7 linked regions of the Sus scrofa genome follow. The protein of the gene in region 1 purifies or fractionates together with the protein of each later gene. This does not show direct contact. Links are inferred from orthologs where the notes say so. Each region holds a gene or a part of one and is shown in the gene's direction. Other genes may lie near its edges.

Region 1 (3,500 bases):
AACCATTGGTCTTTGTAAAAATAATTAAATCATATATTTGCTTCTTTTAAAAAATATACTTATTTTGCTATTCTACCAGGTTAATGCATTATTTTCTTTCACCGTGGATAGGAGGACAGAAAAGGATTTCTTCTGCCACTATAATTTTAACACTACATTGCTTGATATAAATTGTGCAGTGCTGCTAAAATGCCTCAAAATTTTACCATTTCTTTTTATAAACTCTGAATCCTGTGATATCTTTCCTTTCTTAGGATATGAACGAGTCTGCCAAACAAGAAGATATTTTAGAATCCACAACAGATGCTGCGGAATGGAGTCTAGAAGTGGAACGTGTGCTACCACAACTGAAAGTCACGATCAGGACTGACAACAAGGTATGGAAGAGAGAACACATTTTGTTCAAAGAGATATATATAAAGCATTTTCAAGGTCAAGGGTATTCCTAATTGTACAAACTACTTATTTAAGAAGGAATTCCATTTCTAGTGTCTTGTTTTAATAGAGATTTAATGAATTGTTGTTGAATAACTAAATAATGTAATATGGTCCACAAAGCAAGGGATAGATCTTTAAAATGATTTGGAATACATAATGTTTCCCTGAGATTAAGGCATATTTTCTCAATGCATTTTTATAAATTTCGCTGGCATCATATTTTGTTTAGGTGAATAGTGGATGAAACTGAGTATCTGTGACTGTATATTAACTGAGTTGAGTCAGGACATGGTTTAGAACTCTGCTAGATGGCAAAAGAGAAGACATCCTGGACGTTGCCTTACATAGTCTATTCAGTACACATGGTTATAAGTTAAATATTAAGAAAGTTATCAAAAAATCCTATGTAATAAAGATTTGGGGGTTAGGATGGGGGAACTGGCCCATTTAACCAAGTTCCCACTTCCTTTTCACCTGTAACTTATGAGTAAGAACTTCAGGACAAGCTAACGGGTGACTAGACAATGCTACTCTCATTAGTACTATGATACTCTCTACAAAGTGGGCTCGAGAGACATCTAAGTAAAAAAGCTAAAGGATTTTCATCCTCGGAGGCTGGAGACAAGCCCCAGAATTATGGAAAAGATTCTAGGGCAGCTTGTCACTCTGCAAATGTGGTTGTGCATCTGCCTCCAAAGTAGAAGAAGCCCTACAAAGATTGCTGTTTTCAATGCCTTGGAAGCTAATTCATAGATTATCTGGATTTGGGCCTGTAGAATTGTATCCTAGAGAAGGTATAAGGTCGCCAAGACTCGTAGGACAGTCCTAAAGTAGGATAAGGACAGCGGAGTTCTTATTAGACTGTGAACAGCTGTGGAACAGTGTCTAGAGTAAGTGGGCAGACCCTCAGCCTGCTTACCATGTACTTGGAATACAGATATTTTGACTACATTGGGAGTAAATTCTTTGCTTATATATCTCTTATATGTAAGTACCTATAAATAAGAATTTCTTTACTGATTTGATCTCTGCTGGAAGTCATAATTTGCAAAACTAATTTTTGTGAAAATGTAATTTCTGATTCTTTAGTTTTGTTGGAACAAATTCTCTTCATAAAATTAAAATGCATTATTATTGTGACTCTAGTTAGAATGACATGTTAAAATAATTGTATAATTGGGAACTTTTAAGAACATCTTAGTCCCAAAAGGAAGTAAGTTTACCTTGTTTACTTTCAGGGTAAGTAAACTCTTGAAATTAAACATCTTATTTAAAACCGAATAGGATCACGAGAGTGTTTTTTTAAGAATGGTCATTGATTCCACATAATAGAAGTAACTGAATAAAGAAAGAATATAAATGTAACTGCTAATCTGTACAGTTTACAAACCAGTATTGCAGTAATCAAAATCTTAAATTCTTGGAGTTCCTGTTGTGGCTCAGTGGGTTAAGGACCTGACGGTGTCTCTGTGAGAATGCAGGTTCAATCCCTGGTCTAGCTCAATGAGTTAAGGGTCCAGCATTGCCACAAGCTACGGCTTAGGTTGCAGATGCAGCTGGGATCTGGTGTTGCTGTGGCTGTGGTGTAGACCTGCAACTGCAGCTCCAATTCAACCTCTAGCCTGGATTTTTCCATATGCCAAAACATGAAAGAAAAAAAATCCTCGATTCTTAAAGAATCAATGTTCTCCTGATTTGGAGAAGATTTAACTAGTTCACAGTTGGATTCTCAGAGTTCCTGCTGTGGTGCAACTGAATGGGGGCATCACTGCAGCTCAGGACACAGGTGCAATCCCCAGCCTAGCACAGTGGGTTAAAGGATCCAGCGTTGCTACAGTTGCATCATAAGTTGCAGCTGTAGCTCAGATCTGAACCCTGGCCTGGGAACTCCATATGCCATGGGGCGACCAAAAAAGAAAAAAAAAAAAAAAAAAAAAAGGAAGTTGGACTCTTAGTCCCATGCTGTTCATTACCTTGATCTTATGGAGATATACTGTGTTAAATTAACTATACAATCTGTGTTACAAGCAACATTCCAAAATGTCAGAGTTTTGTGGGGGATTTTTTAGTATTTTTTTTAAGAATATGTGAATATCATTTTGATTTTAGATTTTTGCAGTAAAGCATGCTGACCTAAAGTCATATTTGATTACTTTTTCAGAATTCTTCTCCAGATCATTTGGTCTTTGTGTCCAGTATTCATAAACTCTTCTTTCTCCTAAGTATTTCAGCTCTCGCAAAAGGGAAATACAGCTTTAGGGTCAATTCTTTATTCAGCTTACTTAAGAGAAATAAAATTATTCATTGATTTGAGAAAATAAGGGACTAATGAATAGAGAAATGTTTTTCATGTCTCAGAAATAAAGTAATCTGGTTATATATGCAGTTTCTCACGGACTCATTATCCTCCTTAATCAGGAGTGGTTGGTTGACTGCAGCATCAGAATGTAGATCCTATCCTTCCTCAACTCCTAACTCCACCAAAACCAAATCCTCTCTTTTACTTTTGGAAAAAAACAATAACTTTTCACTTACCACAGGCTATTTAAGACCTTTTAGGATTTCAATTTTATATTTTGGGGGGAGGAATTATTTTCAGATCAATGTGTTCTACTAATCCTGTTACATTAATTTTTAGGTATATAGAGATGTGGGAGATGAGTAATACAGAGCTTCTATTATTTAAAATTTATTTAAAATGACCTTGTATTAGTCAAAAATTTATTTAAAATGACCTTGTATTAGAAATTAAAAGCTCCCCCCCCAAAAAAAAAGAAATTAAAAAACCCCATATTTATTTGGCACTGTAGCAAATGTTTCTATGCTTTTTTCCCTCACAAATTCAGTGTATTCCTTGTATACTTCCTAGAAGGGTCTTACCAAAAAAAAGTAAAACTCCTTTTCTGTTCTTTTTGCATATTATTGTCTGTATGCTTGATGAGACCCTGTCATACACCAATATTTTATTTTGTATATTCTCTATAATGTAATCAGGTTTTTATTGGGAGGCTAGCTTATCCTTGTTTCTGGCACTACTTCTTACTGTTGCTGGTTCTCAAAGA
Region 2 (3,946 bases), on another chromosome or scaffold:
GTGAGTTAAGAACCCAACATAGTGACCATGAGGATGCAGGTTCCTTACCTGGTGTCTCTCAGTGGGTTAAGAGTCAGTGTTGCAGCAAGCTGAGGCATAGGTTACAGGTGTGGCTCAGATCCAGTATTGTGGCTGTGGCATTGGCCCCAGCTGCAACTAATTATGTTTGATCCTTAGCCTGGTGACTTCTTAGGCCAGAGTCTACGGTGGTAAAAAGAAAAAAAAAAAAATAGTCCAATATGTATGTATGTTATGATTAGAACTCCAATCACATTTAAGCTATTATAGTAAGACTGGAAGAAAATAAACTGCAAGTTACTTCTTTACTAGAGAGGTGAGATTTAAGATGAAGTAGTTACAATATATACATATATATATATATATATATTTTTTTTTTTTCTTTTCTAGGACCGCACCCTGGCACATGGAGGTTCCCAGGCTAGGGTCTAATCAGAGCTGTAGCCGCTGGCCTACACCAGAGCCACAGCAACGTGGGATCCAAGCGCATCTGCAACCTACACCACAGCTCAGGGCAACATTGGATCCTTAACCCACTGAGCGACGCCAGGGATGGAACCTGAAACCTCGTGGTTCCTAGTCGGATTTGTTTCCGCTGAGCCACAATGGGAACTCCCACAATATATTTTTAAAAAATAATTCTTCTAAGACCACTTTGCATTTAATTTAGCCTTTCTCACAAACCTAGATCAAAAGAAGCCTGAAAGGAAGCCTAAAGACATAAAGCTTTCAATGAAATTAGGGACTGTGCGGTACCAGAATCTCATCCATACTTAATGTTGTATCAGTATGATGTGCAGTCCTAACGGGAAGAAAAACTACCACCAATTAGAAGTAGAAAGACTGTACAATGCTGCCTACCACGGAATAACTTCCAAGTAATTCTTACTAAAAACTCTGGCGTATTACAAGTGAGGCTATACAGCGATATAGTCAAACTCGCTAGGAATGAGTTCAAGTCAGGCTCACAATCAGAAAGCTTACTCTGATTATAAAGAAAACCAAGATTTTCAAATAAAAAATTTCCTTCCTAGCCAATTCGCAGTTTTCCCTTTATTCTGCAAGAGTGCTGAACTATATGGGAAACGTTAGTCCTAAAATCTCGCGAGAGCATTTCAGTCTCGCTTGCTTCGCTGAGTTGGAGGACTGGCCAGTCTGGAAGAGTATCCGTTGCCAGGATACGCGGCGGCCGGCGGCAGGCAGCTTGTAGTGAGGCCTTGAGAGCAGAGGAAAGCTGTTCACGGGTGAGAGGAACATCTCGAGTGAGCGAAGAGGTTCGCGGCCCGACTGGTGGGCTCCGCGGTGGTGGAGGCATCGGAAAGAACTTCGAGTGCCCCAGGGCAGTGCGACCCCCTTACTTCTGCACCCTCAGCGGTGCGATTCCCCGCCTTCCGCGCCCTTCAACGGGGCGACCCCCTTCCTTCCGCGCCTCTCAGCCTCGGCGGAGGTGAGAAATCCCGATTCCAGCTCTCCTCCTTGCTTCCTTTACGGGTTATCTTTGAAGATGCTGATACTCTCCAAACAAAATACATTTGGCTCTTAGCTGTTCTCCTCGGACCTATCTCCGGGCCAAGGCAGTCCCATTTCTAGTATGGCAGAGCGTGAGGAGACCTCTTCAGCAGTCTCCTGAGGAGGGGTCTGCCAAGGGGGTGACCAGAGGGAGGGATTCCGGCGCCTCGAAGAGAAAATTCACTGTGAGCTGAGGGATTTTACTGAGAGTAAATAGATTTCTGTCTGTTGGTCATGGTGGAAGGGACTTTGCAACTTTCCGCTTCATATATGTTAAAATGGCCAGTTGGGAGGATCATGATCATAAAAGTAATTAGGAGCCAGATATTTTGTATGACGTACCTGGAGTCGTCAAAATGACCGTGCAAGATAGAGCTCACTGTCACGCTTTATAAATGAGGAAACACTTCCAGAGGGGAGAATATGGCTGGTAACTGTCCTAGCTACATTAGTATCCCTAATCTTTCTGGAACCTCTCTGGTTGTGTGAATAATCCCAGAGATTGTGTGAATTTTTGAATGACTAACCTTGGAGTTAGTGGAATATTTGTTACTAGAGACGACGTAGTATCCTTAACCCACTAGGCCACCAGGGAACTCCTCATCAGCCTATTGTTAAAACTCTGAGTATAGATGAGGTGGCACAATGAGAAATCAAAGAGGAAAAAGAAAAATAGACTGTGGATGGTATCTTGAGAAATACTGCTAACAAGGGCATGTAGAATAAAATGAAGGAAAGTGAAAAAGGAGAAACAAAAGAGGAGAGTGTCCTGGAAATGATTTAATGTAGGACTGGACACCAGTAACAGAGGTGGCATTTACATCCCTAGCTGCATTGACAGGGAACATTTAAATGGCATAGTAGGAATCCAGGAGACAGTGGAAATGGAAAAGGTAGAGAATGACAGCTATAAGCTAATTTTTAGAATTTGGCTGCCTAGAAAAAGATATATGGAACAGAACTAAAAGTGGTTTCAGGATCTAGAAATTCGTTTTTAAGGTTAGGAAATAATGGAGTTTGATAGCCAATTGAAAGAAGGGGTAGGTTTAAAGACATGTATGAGCTGGATAATGCCCCAAAGGAGACTGGGGCAGGAGTGGGAGAGAAGAAGTTGGGCAAGGAGAGGAAAGCTAACCTCTCAAAGGTGTTGGAGTGAAGAAAAGAAATCATAATAGAGACTTATCTTGAATGAGAGAAGGAATGGCTGTTGAGATTGGAGGGCAAGGTGGATATAGGTAAGTTTATGTACTCCAGATGTGGATTTCACATCTTAATTTTTTCAGGAATGAGTCATCTGCTGAGAGTGGTAGGAACAGAGGTTAAGTAGAAAAGTGATTAAGGACCATAATCATCAAGAACAGAGTAGCTAATCAAAGGTAAATAAAATAATTTCTGAGATGAGAGTCCAGCAAAATTTGGTGACTATGACTTTGCAGTTCTCTAGTCTGTACAGTTGTGGAATTTCCATTAACAGTGTTAGGCTGTCCAGGTTGAATGTAGAGAACAGTTTGTGATTTTGCCATAAGGCTTGAAGAAGAGTTCGAGGATGGTAATTAGGTGATGGTGTTCAAAAGACAGTTTAGTGTTGAGAAGAAATGAAGTCCTTGAAACTGATCTTGACAAAATTTTTTTTTTTGCTTTTTTAGGGCCACATCTGAGACATATGGACGTTCCCAGGCTAGGGTTCTAATTGGAGCTGCAGCTGCCAGCCTACACACAGCCACAGCAACACAAGATCCCAGTCACGTCTTCAGCCTACACCACAGGTCACAACAATGCTGGATCTTTAACCCACTGAGCAAGGCCAGGGATCCAACTTGCATCCTCATGGATACTAGTCTGGTTTGTTACCACTGAGCCACAAAGGGAACTCCCATTAATGGTTTTTGATGGAGATTGCAATGGATTTTTCAGTGTTCATCTTACTTGAATTTCCAGCAGAAAATGGCTTGGCTGACCATTCCTGCCTTCTCTTGGCATCCGTGACAAACACTCCTGGTTTCTCTGTTTGCTTTTGAAATCTTCATTTTCAGTCTCATACTAGTTTCTCTATTTTGCAATCTGTATGTCTTGGCATTCCTTGGTCCAGAGATCTTTTTTTTTTTTTCTTTTTCTTTTTCTTTTTTTTCTTTTTATAGCTGTACCCATGGCGTATGGAAGTTCCCAGGCTAGGGGTCGAATCAGAGCTACAGCTGCTGGCCTGTGCCCCAGCCACAGCAACTCGGGGTCTGAGCCACGTCATACCTTTTATATTATAGACCAGTATATGCATATGTGTAAACTTATATAAATATAACTGAAATGAAAATTAAATGAAATATTTACTCTATGTGCCATGAACTCTCATATTTTCTATTTTATATCATATTTAAAACATATTTGTTATAGCCTGCTAAATTGTTTTCATAAGCCACTACTA
Region 3 (3,500 bases), on another chromosome or scaffold:
CACCTGCAGCAAATGGAGGTTCGCAGGCTAAGGGTCTAATTGGAGCTATAGCTGCCAGCCTACACCAGATCTGAGCCGGGTCTGCAACCTACATCACAAGCTCATGACAACGCCGGATCCTTAACCCACTGCGTAAGGCCAGGAATCGAACCCACAACCTCATGGTTCCTAGTCAGATTTGTTTCCCCTGCGCCACGACGGGAACTCGCTCACTGGAGTCCTTAACTTTGCTTAACTTTGCTTTCTACTCCCAATTATACTCGTTGTTTTTAGGTAGTAATTGATTAGCATATGTGTTAAAATTTGTCATCTATATGGCTCCTAATTATCCATGACTTCAGTTTTATATTTGAAGCCCTATAGATAATGTATTTTTTTCTTTTTCTTTTTTGGGCCATGCCCAGGGCATGTGGAAGTTCCAGGCCAGGGATGGAACCAGCACCATAGCAGTGATAGCCATTGCAATAACAAGCCAGATCTTTAACCCACTGTGCCACAAGGGAATTCCCATGGTTTTTTTTCCAGGTAGTATTTTAGTACAGCTTGATATACAGGCATGCCTTTTTTTTCTTTTTTTTTTTTTCCTCCTTTTTAGGGCTGGACCTGCAGCATATGGAACTTCCCGGGTTAGAGGTTGAATCAGAGCAGCAGCTGCTGGCCTACATCACAGCCACAGCAACTTGGGATCAACGCCAGATCCTTAACCCACTGAGAGAGGCCAGGGATCAAACCTGCATCCTCACAGATACTATGTCCAGTTCTTAGTATCTGAGCCACAACAGGAACTCCCAGGCATCCTTTTTAATTCTAATAATCATGATGAACTGGAAGAGTTCTTCCTCTTTGGCTTATTGGAAACAATAAGTGTGCCTTTTTATTTTTTAATTTTATTATTATTTTTTTGGTCTTTTTTGTCTTTTTCCAGGGCTGCACTCTCGGCATATGGAGGTTCCCAAGTTAGGGGTCTAATTGGAGCTGTAGCCGCCAGCTTACGCCAGAGCCACAGCAACGCCAGATCTGAGCTGTGTCTGTGACCTACACCTCAGCTCACAGTAAGGCCAGGTCCTTAACCCACTGAGTGAGGCCAGGGATCGAACCCACAACCTCATGGTTCCTAGTCGGATTCGTTATCCACTGAGCCACGACGGCAACTCCAAGCGTGTCTTTTTATATCCCTCCCTCTTTTTTTCCCCTCTGCTTACTTACTTTTCTCCTAACCAGGTTCCACGTCCTGATGGAAAGCCTGACAACCTCGGCCTGTTGGTATTAGACGAGCCTTCTACAAAGCAGTCAGACCCTACGGTGCTCTCCCTTTGGTTAACAGAGAATTCCAAACAGCACAACGTCACAGTAAGATACTAGCCTGGTATAGGCCCCAGCTCAAGGGGACCAAGACTGGAGGACTTTCTGGTATTTGTACCATTGACTTACTGCCTGTCGAAAGGGATGGCTATGGCTTCAGCCAGCCCTATTTTTTAAATAATAGTTTATTGAGATATAATTTACCTACCCTGAAATTCATCCTTGTAAATTACACAAATCAGTGATTTTTAGCATATTCACAGGGTTGTACAGCCACCACCACTGTCTAATTTAGGAATATTTCCATCATTCCAAAAAGAAACCCCATACCTGTTAGTAGTCACTCCTTAATCCCCCTGCTGCTAGACCCTGGTCACTACTTCATTCCTTTTCTACGGCTGAATAATTCCATTTTATGGACATACCACATTTTGTCTACCCATTTATCAGATGTTTCTACTTCTATTAACTATACTTAATATGAACATGTACAGGTTTTTGCATGGACATACATTGTTATTTCTCTGGGGAATATAGGTAGGATTGGGATGGCTGGGCCATATGGTAACTGTAATATTATGAGAAACTTCCAAACTGTTTTCCCAAGTGGCTAAATCATTTTACAATCCCACCAGCAATGAGTTTGAGTTTCAATTTCTGCACCTCTTCACCAGCACTTGGTATTGTCCATCTTTTTCATTCTAGCAACCCTAGTAGGTGTGAAATGGTATCGCACTGTAGTCACTCCTATCCTGTTGACCTACTCCCTTCCTCTGGCTCCAGAAGACTCTCAGCCTTTCCTATAAGCTTCATTTGGCGGCTGGCAGGCTTCCCTTTTCATCAGCTATCCTGAATATGAAATAGCAGCATATGATGAGCCACTCTATAAAAACAAGAGAGCCCCTTCAGCGCCATCAGCCAGGCTTTCCCTTTACTTTTCCAGCAACATATGAAAGTCAAGAGTCTGGAAGATGCAGAAAAGAATCCCAAAGCCATTGACACATGGATCGAGAGCATTTCTGAGTTACACCGTTCCAAGGCCCCTGCCACTGTGCACTACACCAGGTACGAAATAGCACATTCTTCCCCATAGTAATCCATGGTAACCTTCACCACCTATGAAACCATTGCTTCTGAGAAGGGGCCCTTAAGTCTGGGACATATTTGGGACATATTTAGTCAACCTGAGGACCTGTGGATCCTAGCCACTGCTGGCTAAGATTGCAGATGTAAAGATTGTCATTTACCTGGTATTATTACTTAGCCAGCTTCTCCAAAACCCAAGCCCTCGGTAACTTTGGCACATCCAGTCTACATGCCCCTGGAATCCTAATGCGCCAGATTGAGGACCTCCCTTCATCTTGGAATATCTTGATGCAGAGGTTCTGCTATCCTCAGTCCATGTTTTTTGCTCATACTTACCTCTTTCCTTCTAGGCCTATGCCAGATATTGACACACTGATGCAGGAATGGTCTCCAGAGTTTGAAGAACTTTTGGGGAAGGTGAGTGGAAGGTAGTAGGAGCTAAGAAAATGTGGCATTCATTTTAGGGCCCAGTGGTTCCTCTCTTTTCATATTACTATTATCATTATCTTCTTAATCGAAGTATAATACGGAATCAGAAACATACACATAAGAGTTAATTTTCACCAACTGAACAGATTTAAAAAAAAAAACCAGAACGTTGCTGGCATCCTGGAAGGCCCCCTGCTGCTTCCACCTCCCAGTGTAACCATTCTCCTGACTTCTAATAGCACAGATTAGGTTTGCCTGTTTTGTATTTTATCTAAATATAACATCATATTCCTTTGTGTCTTATTTGCTTATCTATATTATTCCTCCATATGGAGACTCATTCATATTGTACATTTATTCTCATCACTGTATGCTATTTCATTGTTTGAATATATGACAATTAATCCATTCTGTGATAGTCATTTGGGTACTTTCCAGTTTGGGGTTGTTAAAAATTACCCTGTAATAGCACTGTAACATGCCTGTGAACATTCTAACACATACCTTTTGGTGAACATACATACCTCTTGTCTTGTTCCTTTAGACTCCACCTTCTCCACAGAAGTATATATACTTTTCTAAGAAGCTATGGTCTTATTTATAATGACCCCAAGTTTTTTAAAAAGTGCCCCAGAATACATTTAATAAGAAATTGGTGGAGTTCCTGTCATGGCACAGCGGAA
Region 4 (3,500 bases), on another chromosome or scaffold:
GAGCGCTGGGTTGCAGGTTCCATCTGCAGCCCAGCACAGTGGGGTAAGGATTTGGCATTGCTGCAGCTGTGGCATAGGTCAAAACTGTGGCTCAGATCTGATCCCTGGCCCTGGAACTCCATATGCCATGGGCCAGCCAGATAAAGAGACTTCTTCCAAAGCAATGGCAAGCCCATACCCCTTCTGCCTCTGGATCAGAACCATCAGATTTAGCTCATGAAAAATTCTGCCTTTCGAGTGCTTTTTTTTTTTTTTTTTTTTGGCTATATCCATGGCATGCGGAACTTCTGGGCCAGGATCAAACCCACGCCACAACAGCAGTCTGAGCAACAGCAGTGACAAGACTGGGTCCTTAACCTGGTAGGCCAACAGAAAATTCCATCAAATCTTTTTAGTAGAAAAACTTCTGTTTTCCTCTAGTCCAAAAGATTATAAATTATTCTCTATATGTTTATGTTTTTATTTAAAGATTTTTTTTTTTTGCCACCCTCATGACATACGGAAGTTCCTGGGCCAGGGAGCAGACCCGAGCCACAGCAGTGATAATGCCAGATCCTTAACCTACTAGGTCACCAGGGAACTCCTGTTTATATTTTTAAAAGGACAGAGGTTTCCCTTTAAGATCAATAATGAGAGAACTTCCTGTCACGGCTCAGCGAAAACGAATCTGACTAGCATCCACTAGGACACAGGTTCGATCCCTGGCCTTGCTCAAGCCACGCGTTGGCCATGAGCTTTGGTGTAGGTCGCAGATGCAGCTCAGATCCTGGGTTGCTGTGGCTGTGGCGTAGGCCAGTGGCTACAGCTCCAGTTGGACCCCTGTCCTGGGAACCTCCATATGCTGTGGGTGCAGCCGTAAAAAGACAAAAAAGGTCAATAATAAGAGAAAAAAGTAATTCGCAAGCCAATTGAAAGAAACAAGTTTTTATGTTATGATTTTATAAAATTTTTATATTTAAAAACTTACCTTTAATTTGTAGTGACATATGATTCCTATTTTAGAAGAATGATTAATTTTTGGAATCCAGACAGAATATTTCACCCAACTAAGATAATGCATATATTTAATTTTTTTATTTTCAGTCATGTGTATAATGTACTATTATTTTTTAACTACTTATTGAAATCTGCCGTATTGAGTGAGAAAAGACTGCAGCGGTTCACTTAAGGTAATAGACTTAAAATTTTGTTAAAAAGTGCATTTCTGTATATATATCTATGCATAGAAGAGTCTGGATGTATATCAGATATTAAATGCTAATACCTAGTGATAGGATTATGAGTGATTTTTATTTTATTCTTCATACTTTCAGGATTACTTCTAGTTTTTACAAAGAGCATACCTTAATATTTGATTAAAAAAAATCATCTTCATTTTGTAGGGAGGGAAGAGAAAAGAGCAAATTATCTTTAAACAGTTAAAAGAGTGAAAAATCTTCTCTAATTAAAGGCTTTCAAAGAAAACCAGGATGAAATCTGAATCTCTGAATACCAATTTCCTTTTTTTTTTTTTTTTGTCTTTTGTCTTTATAGGGCTGCACTGGCGGCATATGGAGGTTCCCAGGCTAGGGGTCGAATTGGAGCTGTAGCCGCTGGCCTACGCCACAGCCACAGCCATGCCAGATCCAAACTACGTCTTCAACCTACACCACAGCTCACAGCAACACCTGATCCTTAACCCACTGAGCAAGGCCAGGGATTGAACCCTCAACCTCATGGTTCGTAGTTGGATTTGTTTTTGCTGCACTGCAGCGGAGCTCCTGAGTACCATTTTCAAGCTGCTGTTTATTTATCTCTTGATTAACCTTTCCATTTTATTTCGTTTTGTTCCAGGCCAGCCTTTATGGATGAATATGAAAAGATCGAGGAAGAACTGCAAAAGCAGTATGCCATTTATCTCGAGAAGTTCCGCAATCTGGCTTGTCTGGAGCAGCAACTGGAGGATCATCACAGGATGGAGCAAGAGAGGTTTGAGGTGAGCGCTCGGCCTTGCGTGCAGGCGGCCCCTTCCGAGGTGTCCTTTTGTACGTGCTGACGCCTCGGTGTGGAAGTGTCGCTGGGAAAGGACAGGTGTTGCTTGTTCTCCCTGATCAGGCGAAAGATGGCTCATGTGATTCCTTTTGCTTTTCTGGTTGTGTGGTCTGGACTCCATGGTTGTCAAATCTTTGAGAGTAGGTTGTCACCCGAGTTTGGTCAGTTAGGACAGTAAGACAGGCTGGCCTGTCACCTGTGCAGTCACACACAACTCCAGGCTTAGAAGGGCCTGGGCTTGCTTTCATGATGTTCCTGTCACCTGTCTGGAAATTCTTTTTTTCATTTTTTGTCTTTTCAGGGCCGCACCCATGACACATGGAGGTTCCCAGGCTAGGGGTCGAATCGGAGCTGTAGCTGCTGGCCTACACCACAGCCACAGCCACGCAGGATCCAGGCCGCAGCTGGGACCTACACCATAGCTCACAGCAGCACTGCTGGATCCTTTACCCACTGAGCGAGGCCAGGGATCGAACCTGCGTCCTCATGGATATAAACTGGGTTTGTTAACCACTGAGCCATGACGGGAACGCCTTGAAATTCTTAGTAATATTTAAGCGCATTTTGTTTTGTACTGAGTCCCACAAGTTATGTAACATGGCTGAGGACAGATCTAAAAACTTGCTTCAGGAAGGTCCCTTGTGGAGCAGTTGGTTAAGGATCTGGGTGTTGTCACTGCCATGGCTTGGGTTGTTGCTATGGCTTGGGCTCATTCCCTGGCCTGGAAACGTCCACATGCCACAGGCATGGCCAAAAAAATAAATAAAAATAAAAATAATACATCAGAAATGATGACAGTCGGAGTTCCCATTGGGGTACAGCAGATACAAATCTGACTAGTATCTGTGAGGATGTGGGTTGGATCCCTGGCCTTGCTCAGTGGGTCAGGGATCCAGTGTGGACATGAGCTGTGGTTGTAGGTCACAGATGTGGCTTGGATCCTGCGTTGCTGTGGCTGTGGTGTAGGCTGGCACACCTATACCACACCTGGCACACCTACACCACACCTGGCACACCTACACCTGTGGACTATGCCTTGGCTGTGGCAACGTCAGATCCGGGGATTGACCTGTGTCCTTACAGCTCCGATTTGACGCATAGCCTGGGAACCTCCATATGTCAAGGGTGCGGCCCTAAAGAGACAAGACAAAAAAATTTAAAAAGCCAGTTTCCTCTCCCATTCTCTCTCTCTTTCTTTTATTTTTTTTCCTCTTTATGGCAGCACCTGCGGCATATGGAAGTTCCCAGGCTAGGCGGTCAGGTCAGAGCTGCAGCTGCTGGTCTACACCACAGCCACAGCAATGCCCATTCTGAGCTGCATCCACGACACTGCAGCTTGCAGCAACGCCAGATCCTTAACCCAGTGAGCATGCTAGGGATTGAACCTGCATCCTCATGGATACTAGTCGGATTCTTCACCTGCTGAGCCACAACAGGAATTCCTCTTTCTTCTTTTTTTTGGCTGCCCC
Region 5 (3,500 bases), on another chromosome or scaffold:
GGGAGCAGGGCGGGCTGGGAAGGAGCGAATGAGATGGTACGAATGGGTCCATGGTTTCCCTCTAAGAAGTGATGGCAGCTAGAAAAGCAAGATCTGAGCAGCTCACTCAGAGCCGGAGGAGTTAACACAGAATGAAATGCCACGCATAGTCAAATAATTATCTCACAAGAGAAAATTATAGGTGAGAAAAGTCAACCCTGAAAAGTGAACAGAGCAGCAGGCTCTCAAGAAGTCCAGTGAAGAGGCACATTGAAGCCGCCTGTTAAAAGGGGGAGGAAGGTGAAGGACGCAAGTCGGAAGGAGGCGAGCACGCTGGTGACTTTGCTGCAGATCAAGGGGGTGAGAAATGAGAAGCCAGGTGTCCTGCCGGGTGCCGAGTGACAGAGGGCGAATGCATGTAAGACTCTCAAGAGGGAAGAGATCTTGCAAAGGAAAGCAGCGTGGCATCAAAGGAGGCCAAGCAGAGCCATCAGTGGGGACGCGGGGAGGGCACCGGGGAATCAGGATGCGCATGGAGGACCCCCAGCAACCTTGGGGACCCAGGAGGAACTCTGGAATAAATCGCCCCTGACCGTCCCGTGAAAGGTCCAGGTCTCAGACTTGGAACCGTGACATAAACCTTGAGTTTCAAAGGTTTGCCCATTTATGGGGCTAACTTCACCCTAACAAAGGAAAGCCAAGGAGACGGACCCATAGGTAAAAGACAGGCTTCAAGGAACCAATGATTATTGCAAAAGGACTTGAAAGAGGGGCCCTGGGAAGACGGGTCCACTGAAGTCCTAATGGGCACCACGGGGTGGAGGGTGGACTATGTCACTTGGAAACGGGTTTCAGGTGGCAGATACGGCAGATGACGTTTCTCATAAATGCAAAAACCCACCCAACTGTCACCCCCCTCAAAAAAAAAAAAAAAAACTGCAGGATTCTAAGCATGGAAACTCAACTCAAAGTGGTTCTGTTCGGCAGGTGAACCTGTGAGTCTGGGCCTGATCGCACCTCTTACCTTCTAGATTTCCAAGTAAGTTCAAGCTTGAAAGTGACAGCTTTTCCACACAGGGTGTGTTTCAGTGGCAGAGAGTCAGTTTTATGTCCAGTGCTCAGAAGCCCTCCTCCAGCTTCTGTTCCCTTCTGGAGCGGCTTTTGTAGATGGAGGGATTAGCCTGGAAGGGATGAGACTGGCCTTCGTGGGTTTGGAAGATCCATCTCACGGACCCATTGCTCTGCCAGCGACCCAGAGCAAGTTCCCGTGAGAGTCAAGCACATTTCTCCTGATAATTCCTGGAAGTTTTCGGTTTCTAGACTGGTGTGGGAGAGTCTCAAGTCTAATTGGGTTGAAAGTGGCTTTTTTTCTTCTACTCTGACCTCAACAGGAGACCCAGCTGTGGGCAAAACCGCCCTGGCACAGATCTTCCGCAGCGACGGAGCCCAATTCCAGAAGAACTACACCCTGGTGAGTGGTGGTGGGGTGTAGGCCTGGGGGAGGCTGGAAGACAGGTGAGCAGATAACCCTTAGGGAGTGACTTGCTACATTTCCTTAAGAAGCCCTCAGGGGTCTGGCTGCATGGCCACAGCCACAGGCTGGGGGTGGTGGTGAATGGAGCATACCAGCTGGGGGTGGGCTGGCCACTGCAGACAGCTCGCTTGAGGGTCTGGGGTGGGGATGGGGGGTCAGATGAGGCTAGGTCATCTCTGATTTTTTGCACCAGCAGTGAGTCCAGAACACAGACACTTGAGCCAGGGATACGCCTCCCAGGGTTCGGGGTTCGTCCTGTCTCTCAATGTGCCCCGCAGGGGCCCCTGACGTGCGTGTTCTCCTTCTTCCTCTGCAGACAACAGGGGTGGATCTGGTGGTGAAGACAGTGCCAGTCCCGGACACAGCAGACAGTGTGGTGAGTGGTGCCCTCCCCCCAAGGGAGCTCAGTGCTGCCCCCATGAGGCCACGGGCTCTGTGGTCCTTGTCTTCCTCCCCAGGAGAGAGGCGGTGCCAGGACCCAGCCTAGACCAGTCTGCATTTGGGAACAGGAGGTAGGCAGGGACCGGGAAGCTTTCTAGGGAAGGGCCGAAGAGGAAGTGAGGAAGACTGGGCCCTGGACCTTGCCCTTCCAGAACTTACCAAATACCAAGGTTCTTATTTCCCAAGTCCCCTTCTAGGGGAAGGCTCCATTCTCAAAAGAGAATTGTAAGCTGTTACATTTGCACGTGCTTTCAGGGAGACAAGCTTTAAGAATGTCGAGATTCAGGAGTTCCCGCTGTGGCTCAGTGATTTATGAACCCAACTAGTATCCATGAGGATGCAGGTTCAATCCCTGGCCTTGCTCAGTGGGTTAAGGGTCCCGTGTTGCTGTGTCTGTGGTATAGGTCGCAGATGCAGCTCAGATCTGGCGTTGCTATGGCTGTGGCTTAGGCTGGCAGCTGTAGCTCCGATTTGACCCCTAGCCTGGAAACTTCCATATGCTGCAGGTGCAGCCCTAAAAAGCAAAAAAAAAAAAAAAAAAAAAAAAAAGAAAGAAAGAAAAAAAAAAGAATCGCAAGATTCTTAAAGACGTCCATGAGCAAAAAACAATTTCTGAGTACCCCGGGTCTGGTGAGAAGTGATGAGGCGAATGCACAGGTAACCAATATGCATGTCAGAGGGTGGCACTGACATCCACACAGCCTGTACTGGCGTCGGAGAGACACACATTTCCTGGAGAAACTTCAGCGGGGAAATGCGGGGGGACTTCCCCGAAGGGCAGCACTGGGGAGGGGCTCTCACCTGGGCGGGCAAAGGCTGGGACTCAGGCGGGAAGGGCCCCCCTGCACCCTCCATCAGAAGCACACCTCGGCCGTCCAGAACGATGCCAGGCTGTCCTACTTTAAATGCTGTCCCCAGGCCTCCTTGGTGACCTCCTTTAACAAGGATTGTTTTAAGATTTGAAAATCAATTTGGTTAACAAAGTGCAGGATGACCTTCTGGAAACCGGAGCACTTGTCAGCCTGTTTAGCATTCTGTTCTGCCAGGTGGGGAGTCAGCTTGTTCCTGGTATTTTTGCACTCGGGGTTAGGAGAGGTAAGACGGCGGCCGGAAAGAGCCAGTTGGTGTGGGAAATGGCTGTACTTGAACTTGTGCCTTTCCCCATCATCTTCCTCATGCCTGGGGCCAGAGATGCACGCACGTCCATGTGCGCATGCGTGTATTGCCATGCAGGTGAGCAGAGAGACCTTCCGGGGACTTGCAGCCTGGGCTTTCCCTACGAGTAGACTTTCTTGGGACCGGCCTTTCTGATTCCAGGAACTCTTCATTCTTGACTCGGCCGGCAAGGAGCTGTTTTCGGAAATGCTGGATAAATTGGCAAGTAGCATTCAGTCTTTTTCCCAACCACCACCTCCCTCCCAAGCTTTGCCCCTTACCATGCTCTTGTAGAAATTTCACTGCCCTACAGGCCACGTGTGTCACCTTGGCAGGTGGGCACGGCTCAAGCACGTCATTCGTGATTGACCCCTCCCCCCAGCTCTGAGGC
Region 6 (4,214 bases), on another chromosome or scaffold:
GTGATCAGTGGACCTGGCCGCAGGCAGCTCTGTCAACTGCTAACTCTCTTTTTGAGAAAACGCTTGAATTGGCTCGGGGATCTGTCTGTAAGCCCGTGTAACTAAAAGTTCAATTATAGTGAAGCTCTGCTATCTGTTACTAGTCTGCTTATTCTTAAAAGTCCCTTAAATTTAGCGGCATGACAGAAGTAGGCGGTCCCTGAGAACTTTTTGGTGCCTGTTCTGACGAGATAACGCGTCAGCCCTTGGCGCAGGTGGGGGGGCCTTTTTTTTTAGGGCCACACCCACAGCGTATGGAAGTTCCCAGGCTAGGGGTCGAATCGGAGCTGAAGCTGCCAGCCGACGCCACAGCACGGCAGCACGGAATTCAAGCTGTGCCTGCGACCTACATGACAGCTTGCAGCCACTCTGGATCCTTCACCCACCGAGCAAGGCCGGCGATCAAACTTGAATCCTCATGGATACTAGTTGGGTTCATTACCGCTGAGCCCCAGTGGGAACTCCTGTTGGCACTTCTTACATTTTGATTTAAGGTATTAGAAAGTATCTCCCCAGACATTTGCTTCCTTACAGAACCTGATTTTGCTTTATGTAGGATGGTTGAAAACTGTCACTGTTTTTGGTTATATTTTATTTTGTATTTATGTGCTTTAAAAACCTCAGGTGGGTTTTCCCGCTGTGGCCCAGCGGGTTAAGAACTCAGCTGTAGCAGCTGGAGGCTCAGGTTGCTGCGAGGTGGGGGTTTGATCCATGGCCTGGCGAAGTGGGTTAAAGGATCTGGTATTGCCACACGTGTGGCTCAGATTCATTCCCCAGCTCGGGAATTTCCATAGGCCATTGGGTGTGACCATAAAAAAAAATTTTTTTTTAATGGAAATAGGAGTTCCCATTGTGGCTGAGTGGGATAAGAACCTGACACAGCCTCCGTGAGGATGTGGGTTAGAGCCTGGCCTCGTTCATTGGGTTAGGGATCCAGTGTTACCGTGAGCTGTGGTCTAGGTCACGAATGCGGCTGTGGTGCCGGCCAGCAGCTGCAGCTCCGATTTGACTCCTGGCCCAGGAACCTCCATATGCTGCAGGTGCGGCTGTAAAAAGAAAAAGAAGAATACATATGAAAACCTAACGGGAGAGGTTATTTTTGACTTCAGCTTTCTCGGGTACATTCTAGACGTTTCCTAGCATTTAATCCAGGAACTCAAAGGCCTCCTGACTTGTCTTGAACAAGCGAGGCAGAGGGGCCGCCGCAGGAAGCCCTTGAAGCTGGAGCGCCTCTCCGGGAGGTGAGGGCCCGTGGGCTGTCGGCTCGGGGTGTTGCGGGCCCCGGGCTCAGCTCCCTGCCGTCCTCAGGCCTCTGCAGCATATGCGCCTTCAGGAATTCGAGCCCATTCCTTTAAGAAACATAAGCCTCCTTTGTGTAAAGTCCATGTTCGACTTTGCTTTTGGTTGTGGTGTGTGCATGCACGTAAGAAAAAGATTCCTCCCAGGCGTGCAGTTCTCCTCCCTTTATGTCGTTCTCCAAGAAGGGTTTGGTTTTTACCCTTTTTCTTGGGGTGCCGTGTTGTCGCTGTCTTTCACTGTTTTGGTCAGGGAGCAAAAACCCAAAGCGAGCAAGACGCTCACGAGCCCCTGGCTTTGTCTTCCCCAGCATCACGGACTGCGCCGTGGAGCCCTTGAAGGCGGAGCTGGCCGAGCTGGAGCAGCTGGTCAGAGACCAGCAGGACAAGATCCGCGCCGTGAAGGCCAGCATCCTGAGGAACGAAGAGAAAATCCGGAAAATGGTGCACAGCATCAACTTGAGTTCCCGACGGTGAAGGCACACGACGCCGAGGACTGAACGTCGCTGTCCTCGGTGTGCGAGTAAAGCGGAGAAGATAGGACGGCGTTTCCCCTGAGGTTTCGGGTTGGAGGCAGGGAGCGGGGTTCGCTGTTAGCCCGCTGACTTTCCGCGCCTGCAGCCCAGCTTATTCCGTGTCTGAGAAGACCGTGCCTGCCCACCTTCCTCTGGCTAGCGTGCTTGCCAGTTATAAAGAGCTCTGCAAAGCGCCCGTGCGAGAAGTGTCTTTACGGGCCTGTCCTGGTATTTCTGCGGCAGGCTGCTCTGTTCGGTTCTGTGCCGGGTCCTCTGGCGGGAAGCCCAGGGCGTAGGAGACCTTGACCTTGGACTCAGCCCAGGGAGGGCTCCTCTGCTGAGCGAAGGAGGCTGCACCTCCTGACGAGCACTTGCCAGGGAGGCCCGAAGAGGAACCCGTTGCATTTTCAGCTCATTTCCACTTGGAAAGGCTTCGGTTCCGCTCACGTCCTTAGAAGGTGCCTGTGGCCTTCTGTTTTCAGCCTCTTGGGAGCTGCATGCGCTGCTTCGTGTAATTTTCCTCTGGGTCTCTGCTCGCTCTGGCTTGTATTTCCAGCCCTGGCAGTTCACACACTTGGCAGGGAGCCCTCGGAGTGGCTTTCACGGCTGTCGTCTGCACGGGAGCTCGTCACAGGCCGTAGCCTCACTCTCCCCAGCATTTACCCTGGCCTCCCCCACGCACCTCCCAGCATAGCTGGAGGGAGTCCTCGGCCCTGCAGATGGGGGGCTGCTCGCCACCTGTTCCTTCCCACAGGCGCACACCTGTGCCCCGAGAGGCCGGGAGCTTGGGGGAAACTGCAAAAGGAAGATTGTAGCGGGGGCGGGTTTACTGAAGGTGTTGATGTTACCATTTTTTAAATTGTTTTTAAAAGCAGAAGGTTTTTTTTTAAAGCATCGTTTACGTGTAGTTTTCACCACATGTGCTGTTGTAAATGCTAAGGCCTGAGGTTTGCGGGTGAAGACTCCCCTGCCTGGAGACAGGGGTCCTCAGGTCTGGGACCTGACCCTTTGCCTCTAGATACCGCGTGTACCGCGCAAGCCAAGGAATTGCCTGAGGAAGCTTTGTTTCTTTAAAAGGTCAGCACAAAGGGCACAGGTAAGGTTTTCTTAGGGTAATTTCCAAGCTGGACCTGTTACAGGGAGGTCGTGTGATTTTCTGAGCTGAGTTCAAGATCAGCTTATTAAGATCTGGCATCTTGAAACACCGGTCCTTTCCCCGCTCTGCACGGCGCCTGGGATTCTGTTGGATCAGATGGCCCGACACCTGTCGTTGGGGGAGGGGAGGCGCGTCCGCTCCCGGCCTTCCCTCGCGTGTCCGTCCTCGGTCCCTGCGACGCGGCCGCAACCCCACGTGGGCCCTGTCTTGCCCCAGGTGAAGCTGTCTGCCTTTTCTCAGTCTGTACAGAAGAGTAGAGTTTTTGTGGCAAAAGAGTGCAGACCTTGTATGCGAGTAAAATTTTGTATGAAGTAGTTGATCAAATTGTATCATAAAATTTATTTTTCTTTTATACATAAATCATTACAAATAATCACCTATTTTTCTATAAGTGCATGGGTTGCAAGTTCGGTTCACACCTGGAAAAAGCATTTATAAGCGTTTGGATTGTTTAAATGTTAAAGTGTGTGCGGTTTGTTTTTCACTGAAGCAAGTTCAGGGAACTGTATCTTTTCATTCATATTGTGACAGCACTTTTCTGTATAAATGGAAGTTCCTTAGGGCAGATAAGCATTTATCAGAAACTTTAAGATCGCTCATGAAGTTTTAGAAAGATTCTGCATGAAGGTATTACTGTATCTTTTCAAAAATGAATTAAATTCCGATGTTATTTATTGTTTTGATAAAATACACCAATGGGATTATCACATGTTTTCCTCTGGTCTGTAAGTTTTCAGAAAGTACTGGATTCATACATCAGAAATTTTGACTTAAAGGGTGAGCTGATACTAATTTATATTTAAAGGAAATGTGTCAACTTTTGAAAAAAGTAGTTTAAAACTAAAATTCAAGCTTTCTGCTTTAGTATTCGTACAGACTTTTCTTTCCAGTAAGCAACTTAAAAAGAGGAGTGGCTGGAACCTACAAGGCGGGACGCTGTTCTTTCGTGACGCTAAGTGCAGGGTGGCGGGGGGTTGTCGGGAATCTGTCGAGTGACAAGCGCCCCGAAGGGTTCCCGGGCCTCTCTCCCTGCTGACGACGTGTACCTTCTGTTGACCCGCTCAGCGTCATGGCTCAGGGGCGAGAGGAGTGGGCAGCTTGTGTCACGGTCGCAGGCTCAGGACGACCGGTTTGCTGGAGCTCCCACAGGCGTCGGGTTCAGGACGAGGGCGCACAGAGCGCAGCGTGGAGGAGGGGTTTCTGCACAGA
Region 7 (4,045 bases), about 51 Mb from region 1:
GGCCCAGCCTCCACCCCACCCAACCCGGGGAAAATTCCGTCCATCTATTTCCGAAAGCCCCGTTTAAAAACCCTGCTCAACGCCAGCGGGTCCTCGAGAAAGAAGGCACAAAACCCCTCGAGGTGCCAAGAAGGCGGGATCCGTTTTCCTAAGTCCAAAGCAAGTGGGAAAACTTAGACGTGCTTGGGGAATCAAGCTTAGTTCTTTTTATTTTCTAAAGTTCCCTTCCCATCCCCCCGACGAAGGTAAGGGTATAAGAATATTCTAACGTAATTTCTAAACGAAGTAAACTGGCGTTTACCGACATGCCCACGCTCCCGGGGCTAGGAATACAAGCGCACACACTTTGAGAGCGAAGAGTTCGTATTAACTTTAGGCTTGAGGGGCTCTCAACTTCCGAGAGCAGCGAAGAACCGGCTGCTCGCCGCCCACTATCCTCTCCTCGCCATTTAGCTCTAGGAGCCCTTGACCGCCCGCGGGCTTTGAGGTGTCCTCACGACTGCCCGATAGGGACCAGTGGATGGGGTCGACCCCCGCGATTTTCAAATCGGAGGCCGGCAGTGCCGGCTCCGGTTCAAATCACCTTGGGGCAGCAGGGGTTTGTACCTCCGGTGTCCGCGGCAGACTCCCGCTAGGCAATAAACCAGGAAAGGTCACCAGTAAGGGCTCAGATCGGGTAATCAGTCCCTTGGGAGAAGAGAGAGAGAGGCAGGGGGCCGGGGCAAGGGGAAACCCTACAGTCCGATCGGGACCAAGTTTTCTGAGAAGAAGTCCACGAAGCTTAAGCCCCGATCCCTCGCGTCCCCTGAGCGACGCCCAAGTAGCTCAAAGAAGTGGCGCCCAGAAGAAGCGCGCGGGAGCCCCGAATGCTGAGGAGAGGCTGAGGGGGGAGGGGTGACAGCGAGAGAAACCTCCCGGCGGCAGCCTCAGCCTAGACTTCGGCCGCTCCAGCTCAAGGCCTTTTCTTCCCAGGTGCCGGCAGACGGGGCAGGAAGTAAGAGTGTGACAACTCTACCAGGAAAAGAGGTACTTTACCTGCGGGACAGTCCACTCAGACCAAGGCTGGAAACGGTTGTATAACCCCCCCGCGTCTACTGGTGTTTCGGCTCCGGGTCCTTCACTCGAAAATGGCGCCTAAAATACAAACTCGAACGGAAATTCGTTACAAATGCGCGCAATGCTTTCTGGGACCCACTAATTTGAAAAAACTGCGGCGATTATGGTCGCCATCTTCATGTCGTTTACACGCATGCGCGAAATGCTGGCGGGACCCTGGCGGCAGAGGACATTTCTAAGTGAAAAAGAAAAGCGAAGCAATGTTTTCCTTGGGCCTATGGACAACAACATTCATATAAAATATATTTTTAAAAAGTTTTGGGAGTTTTGAATAAGAGGAAGAAAACAGAATGGGACCCCGCCCACAGCTAAACAACGGGCACAGAAGCCCAATAACGCTCCTTAACAAGAGGGCGGGCTCGCTAGGGGCGGGGTCTCGGGCCCGCTCGGGTGACGCGGCGGGAAGTATCGCGGGAAGAGGGAGTTCGCTCTGCTCTCAGAAGTCGCTATGGTGACGAAGAGATCCGAGGCTTCTTGGTAACTGGTAGCACCCCTGTGAGAGCGATCGCCACTGCTTTCCTGGAACTTACTTAAGGTAAATCTCTATCTCTGGACGAAGTGAGGAAAGAGTTTAGAGGTTGTGGCCATTACTGGACCCACTTTTCCTGCTTTTAGGGTGTTTGCAGCTTGGAGCATCAGTTATTTTCCATCTCCCTGGAGCACTGGGGCTCTGGACGTAGCTCTTGGGATGCAGAGGAAGCCCTAAGTCTTTGGAGAGAGTAGGGGGACAACAAGGAGAAGACCTCGATTGGTGAATGATCTTGTAGTAAATAGCAAAATAAGGATTTCGAGTTATTAGTATTAGGTCGTTAGCGTCACTAGCGAAAGAGGGTTTCTGGCTTTTAAAATTATTTGGCTGAAAGACTCCGTAATAGAAGAAACGATTTGCTCGTATCATATGTTTATGAAAAAATTATCGATCAGCAAATATTAAGTAGCTTTGTACACGTTGCACTGTGTCAGGCATAAGAAAGATTATCAAGGTAGTATTTCTGTTCCCAGAGAATTTAGTTTTGTTAGTGAGTTTTTAACCTGGAGTTTATGGATCTGGTGGTAGGCGATTGTTCATACCACCTCTCCTCCACTCTCCATCTCCAACCCCTTGCCCCTTTAGCTGTGTACAGAATTATGTCTGCTTGTGAATTTTTCTGAGGAGTTTCCCAGAACTTTTATCAAATTCTCAAACACGATCCTAATCCCCCAAATGTTAACCACTGGTTGATTTGACTACCTCCAATAAGCATTTGTTCAGCAGCTCTAAAGTACTTGACATGGAGAACTGGGAACTCTTTTATTCCCCCTTTTAGCTTTTTAATACTTGGTGCCTGACATACTAAACCCCCAATAAATCCTCTTTATGCATGAATTTAAATTGTCATTCTAAGTAAGTATGTATGACCCTTGCCCTGAGGAGCATATTCAGGTTCAGTGATTCCCAAGAAGACATGTAGAGGCCACTGCCCACAAGTGTAAGAATTTGTTGAAGAGGGGAGACTGGTGTGGTTTGAGTAAGTATTGACTCCTTATTGTAATATACCTTTATATTTGAAGTTGAAAAAAATTGTTTTCGAAGGACAAACTACAGACAGTAAACTCAATGAAAAAAAATTTTGACCCGTAGGTGTGCGAGGAAAATGTAGTAATTCTCTTTGAAAGCATCTGGAATCTTTTGGATTTTTGAAGTCTGTAAAACATAACTAACCCTGAGTTGGAGAGATATTAACCAAGAGAAATGCAAAGACTAGACCAAATTGGGTAGTGTATTTGGGAGACAGCACAGTGGAGTAGAAAGATGTAAGAGATAACAGAATCCCAAATCTCATGTTTTTTTGTCTACATACTTAGACAATTTATCAATTTATCAGTCCCTCTGAGAGTATTTATTATAAAATCAGCATATAATACCTACCTCATAGAATTGTTTATGATTGTCTATCCCACACACTATATTCATTTGATATTGCTGTGTTTTACCATTGATTTTATCAGGGTATGTGCTAAGGATGAATAATGGGTATGTCAAGTTAGAAGAAGGTTAGCTTACGAAGGGTCTTCAAGCCAGATCAAGGATGTTACATATGATACATTTTTAGAATATTAGAAAAAATTTGAGCTTAGGAATGACTTAATAAAAAAAATTAACTATTTATGTGAAATGTGTTAAGAAACTGAGATCAGGCATGGCTGAGATTATTACCGTACATGGAATTGTACTTACTTCCGTGTGGGAAGTTAAAAGTGCCTATGCAGTGGAATGGAAAAAAATCTGAATATATTTGCAGGGGAAAATCTGTAGCTTTTGTAGCTTTTAATGGTTAAGAGTCTGAGCCAGACTAAAAGTCAGTCAGATTCTATCTATTCTTTATGAATCCCTGGATTAGTGATGAGGGGATAAGAAGAAAGATGTCACAAATAAATCCTAGTCTTGCTGCCTTTGTTATTGCTATAAGTAATGATAGGTCTTAGTGACTAATGAGTAAGAAATGTAATTTCAATAAACCAATAAAGTGACCAATAGCTTTAGATTTAGTTGAATCTAACCGTGCTCCACTCAGAATGAATATTTTTAAACAAGTTTAGACTAGTGTCTGTAATGTAGGAAAGACATTCATAGCAAAGTTATAGTGGAGCTTAAATATGGAGTGACAGTAGGACACTCAGAATAAGTGAAGAAGTGATTTGAGAAGAGAATAGAGTCAATAAGAAATAAAGACTTGATTGATCTCTGCCAGTACTTTGGATAAAAAGAAGCTGGTCCAATTGGGAGGGACTAGGTTACAGTCTTGGAAGGTATAACCAAGTCTCATCTTTCTGGTCCCAAATCATCTGCTAAAAACCATTATCTATAATTTAAGGCAAAGAAGAGAATCCTTACTTTTTTGTGTTCAAAAAATTGTACCCTATAGGGAGAAATAAGAATGAGTTTAAA

What was found.
Region 2: the proteins of IFT57 (region 1) and IFT74 purify together in Homo sapiens (affinity purification with mass spectrometry; 3 studies listed by BioGRID and IntAct, counting the BioPlex papers as one, with this or other methods). This does not show direct contact. The link is inferred for Sus scrofa from reciprocal best matches to the Homo sapiens genes IFT57 and IFT74.
Region 3: the proteins of IFT57 (region 1) and IFT46 purify together in Homo sapiens (affinity purification with mass spectrometry; 3 studies listed by BioGRID and IntAct, counting the BioPlex papers as one, with this or other methods). This does not show direct contact. The link is inferred for Sus scrofa from reciprocal best matches to the Homo sapiens genes IFT57 and IFT46.
Region 4: the proteins of IFT57 (region 1) and CLUAP1 purify together in Homo sapiens (affinity purification with mass spectrometry; 4 studies listed by BioGRID and IntAct, counting the BioPlex papers as one, with this or other methods). This does not show direct contact. The link is inferred for Sus scrofa from reciprocal best matches to the Homo sapiens genes IFT57 and CLUAP1.
Region 5: the proteins of IFT57 (region 1) and IFT27 purify together in Homo sapiens (co-immunoprecipitation; 3 studies listed by BioGRID and IntAct, with this or other methods). This does not show direct contact. The link is inferred for Sus scrofa from reciprocal best matches to the Homo sapiens genes IFT57 and IFT27.
Region 6: the proteins of IFT57 (region 1) and TRAF3IP1 purify together in Homo sapiens (affinity purification with mass spectrometry; 3 studies listed by BioGRID and IntAct, counting the BioPlex papers as one, with this or other methods). This does not show direct contact. The link is inferred for Sus scrofa from reciprocal best matches to the Homo sapiens genes IFT57 and TRAF3IP1.
Region 7: the proteins of IFT57 (region 1) and IFT80 purify together in Homo sapiens (affinity purification with mass spectrometry; 3 studies listed by BioGRID and IntAct, counting the BioPlex papers as one, with this or other methods). This does not show direct contact. The link is inferred for Sus scrofa from reciprocal best matches to the Homo sapiens genes IFT57 and IFT80.

The regions. Positions count from the first base shown.
Region 1 is NC_010455.5:151,329,552-151,333,051, forward strand, and holds part of IFT57 (intraflagellar transport protein 57 homolog), read left to right. Parts: intron 1-254; coding exon 255-377; intron 378-3,500. UniProt on the Homo sapiens protein: Required for the formation of cilia. Plays an indirect role in sonic hedgehog signaling, cilia being required for all activity of the hedgehog pathway.
Region 2 is NC_010443.5:196,171,080-196,175,025, reverse strand, and holds the start of IFT74 (intraflagellar transport protein 74 homolog), read left to right. Parts: upstream 1-1,146; 5' UTR 1,147-1,262; exon of another isoform or gene 1,263-1,465; intron 1,466-3,946. UniProt on the Homo sapiens protein: Component of the intraflagellar transport (IFT) complex B: together with IFT81, forms a tubulin-binding module that specifically mediates transport of tubulin within the cilium. Binds beta-tubulin via its basic region. Required for ciliogenesis.
Region 3 is NC_010451.4:45,848,419-45,851,918, reverse strand, and holds part of IFT46 (intraflagellar transport protein 46 homolog), read left to right. Parts: intron 1-1,221; coding exon 1,222-1,350; intron 1,351-2,245; coding exon 2,246-2,367; intron 2,368-2,738; coding exon 2,739-2,805; intron 2,806-3,500. UniProt on the Homo sapiens protein: Forms part of a complex involved in intraflagellar transport (IFT), the bi-directional movement of particles required for the assembly, maintenance and functioning of primary cilia. May play a role in chondrocyte maturation and skeletogenesis.
Region 4 is NC_010445.4:38,732,886-38,736,385, reverse strand, and holds part of CLUAP1 (clusterin-associated protein 1), read left to right. Parts: intron 1-1,833; coding exon 1,834-1,975; intron 1,976-3,500. UniProt on the Homo sapiens protein: Required for cilia biogenesis. Appears to function within the multiple intraflagellar transport complex B (IFT-B). Key regulator of hedgehog signaling.
Region 5 is NC_010447.5:11,000,682-11,004,181, forward strand, and holds part of IFT27 (intraflagellar transport protein 27 homolog), read left to right. Parts: intron 1-1,370; coding exon 1,371-1,450; intron 1,451-1,829; coding exon 1,830-1,889; intron 1,890-3,271; coding exon 3,272-3,331; intron 3,332-3,500. UniProt on the Homo sapiens protein: Small GTPase-like component of the intraflagellar transport (IFT) complex B that promotes the exit of the BBSome complex from cilia via its interaction with ARL6. Not involved in entry of the BBSome complex into cilium. Prevents aggregation of GTP-free ARL6.
Region 6 is NC_010457.5:137,908,612-137,912,825, forward strand, and holds the end of TRAF3IP1 (TRAF3-interacting protein 1), read left to right. Parts: intron 1-1,645; coding exon 1,646-1,811; 3' UTR 1,812-3,714; downstream 3,715-4,214.
Region 7 is NC_010455.5:100,075,349-100,079,393, reverse strand, and holds the start of IFT80 (intraflagellar transport protein 80 homolog), read left to right. Parts: upstream 1-1,245; 5' UTR 1,246-1,651; intron 1,652-4,045.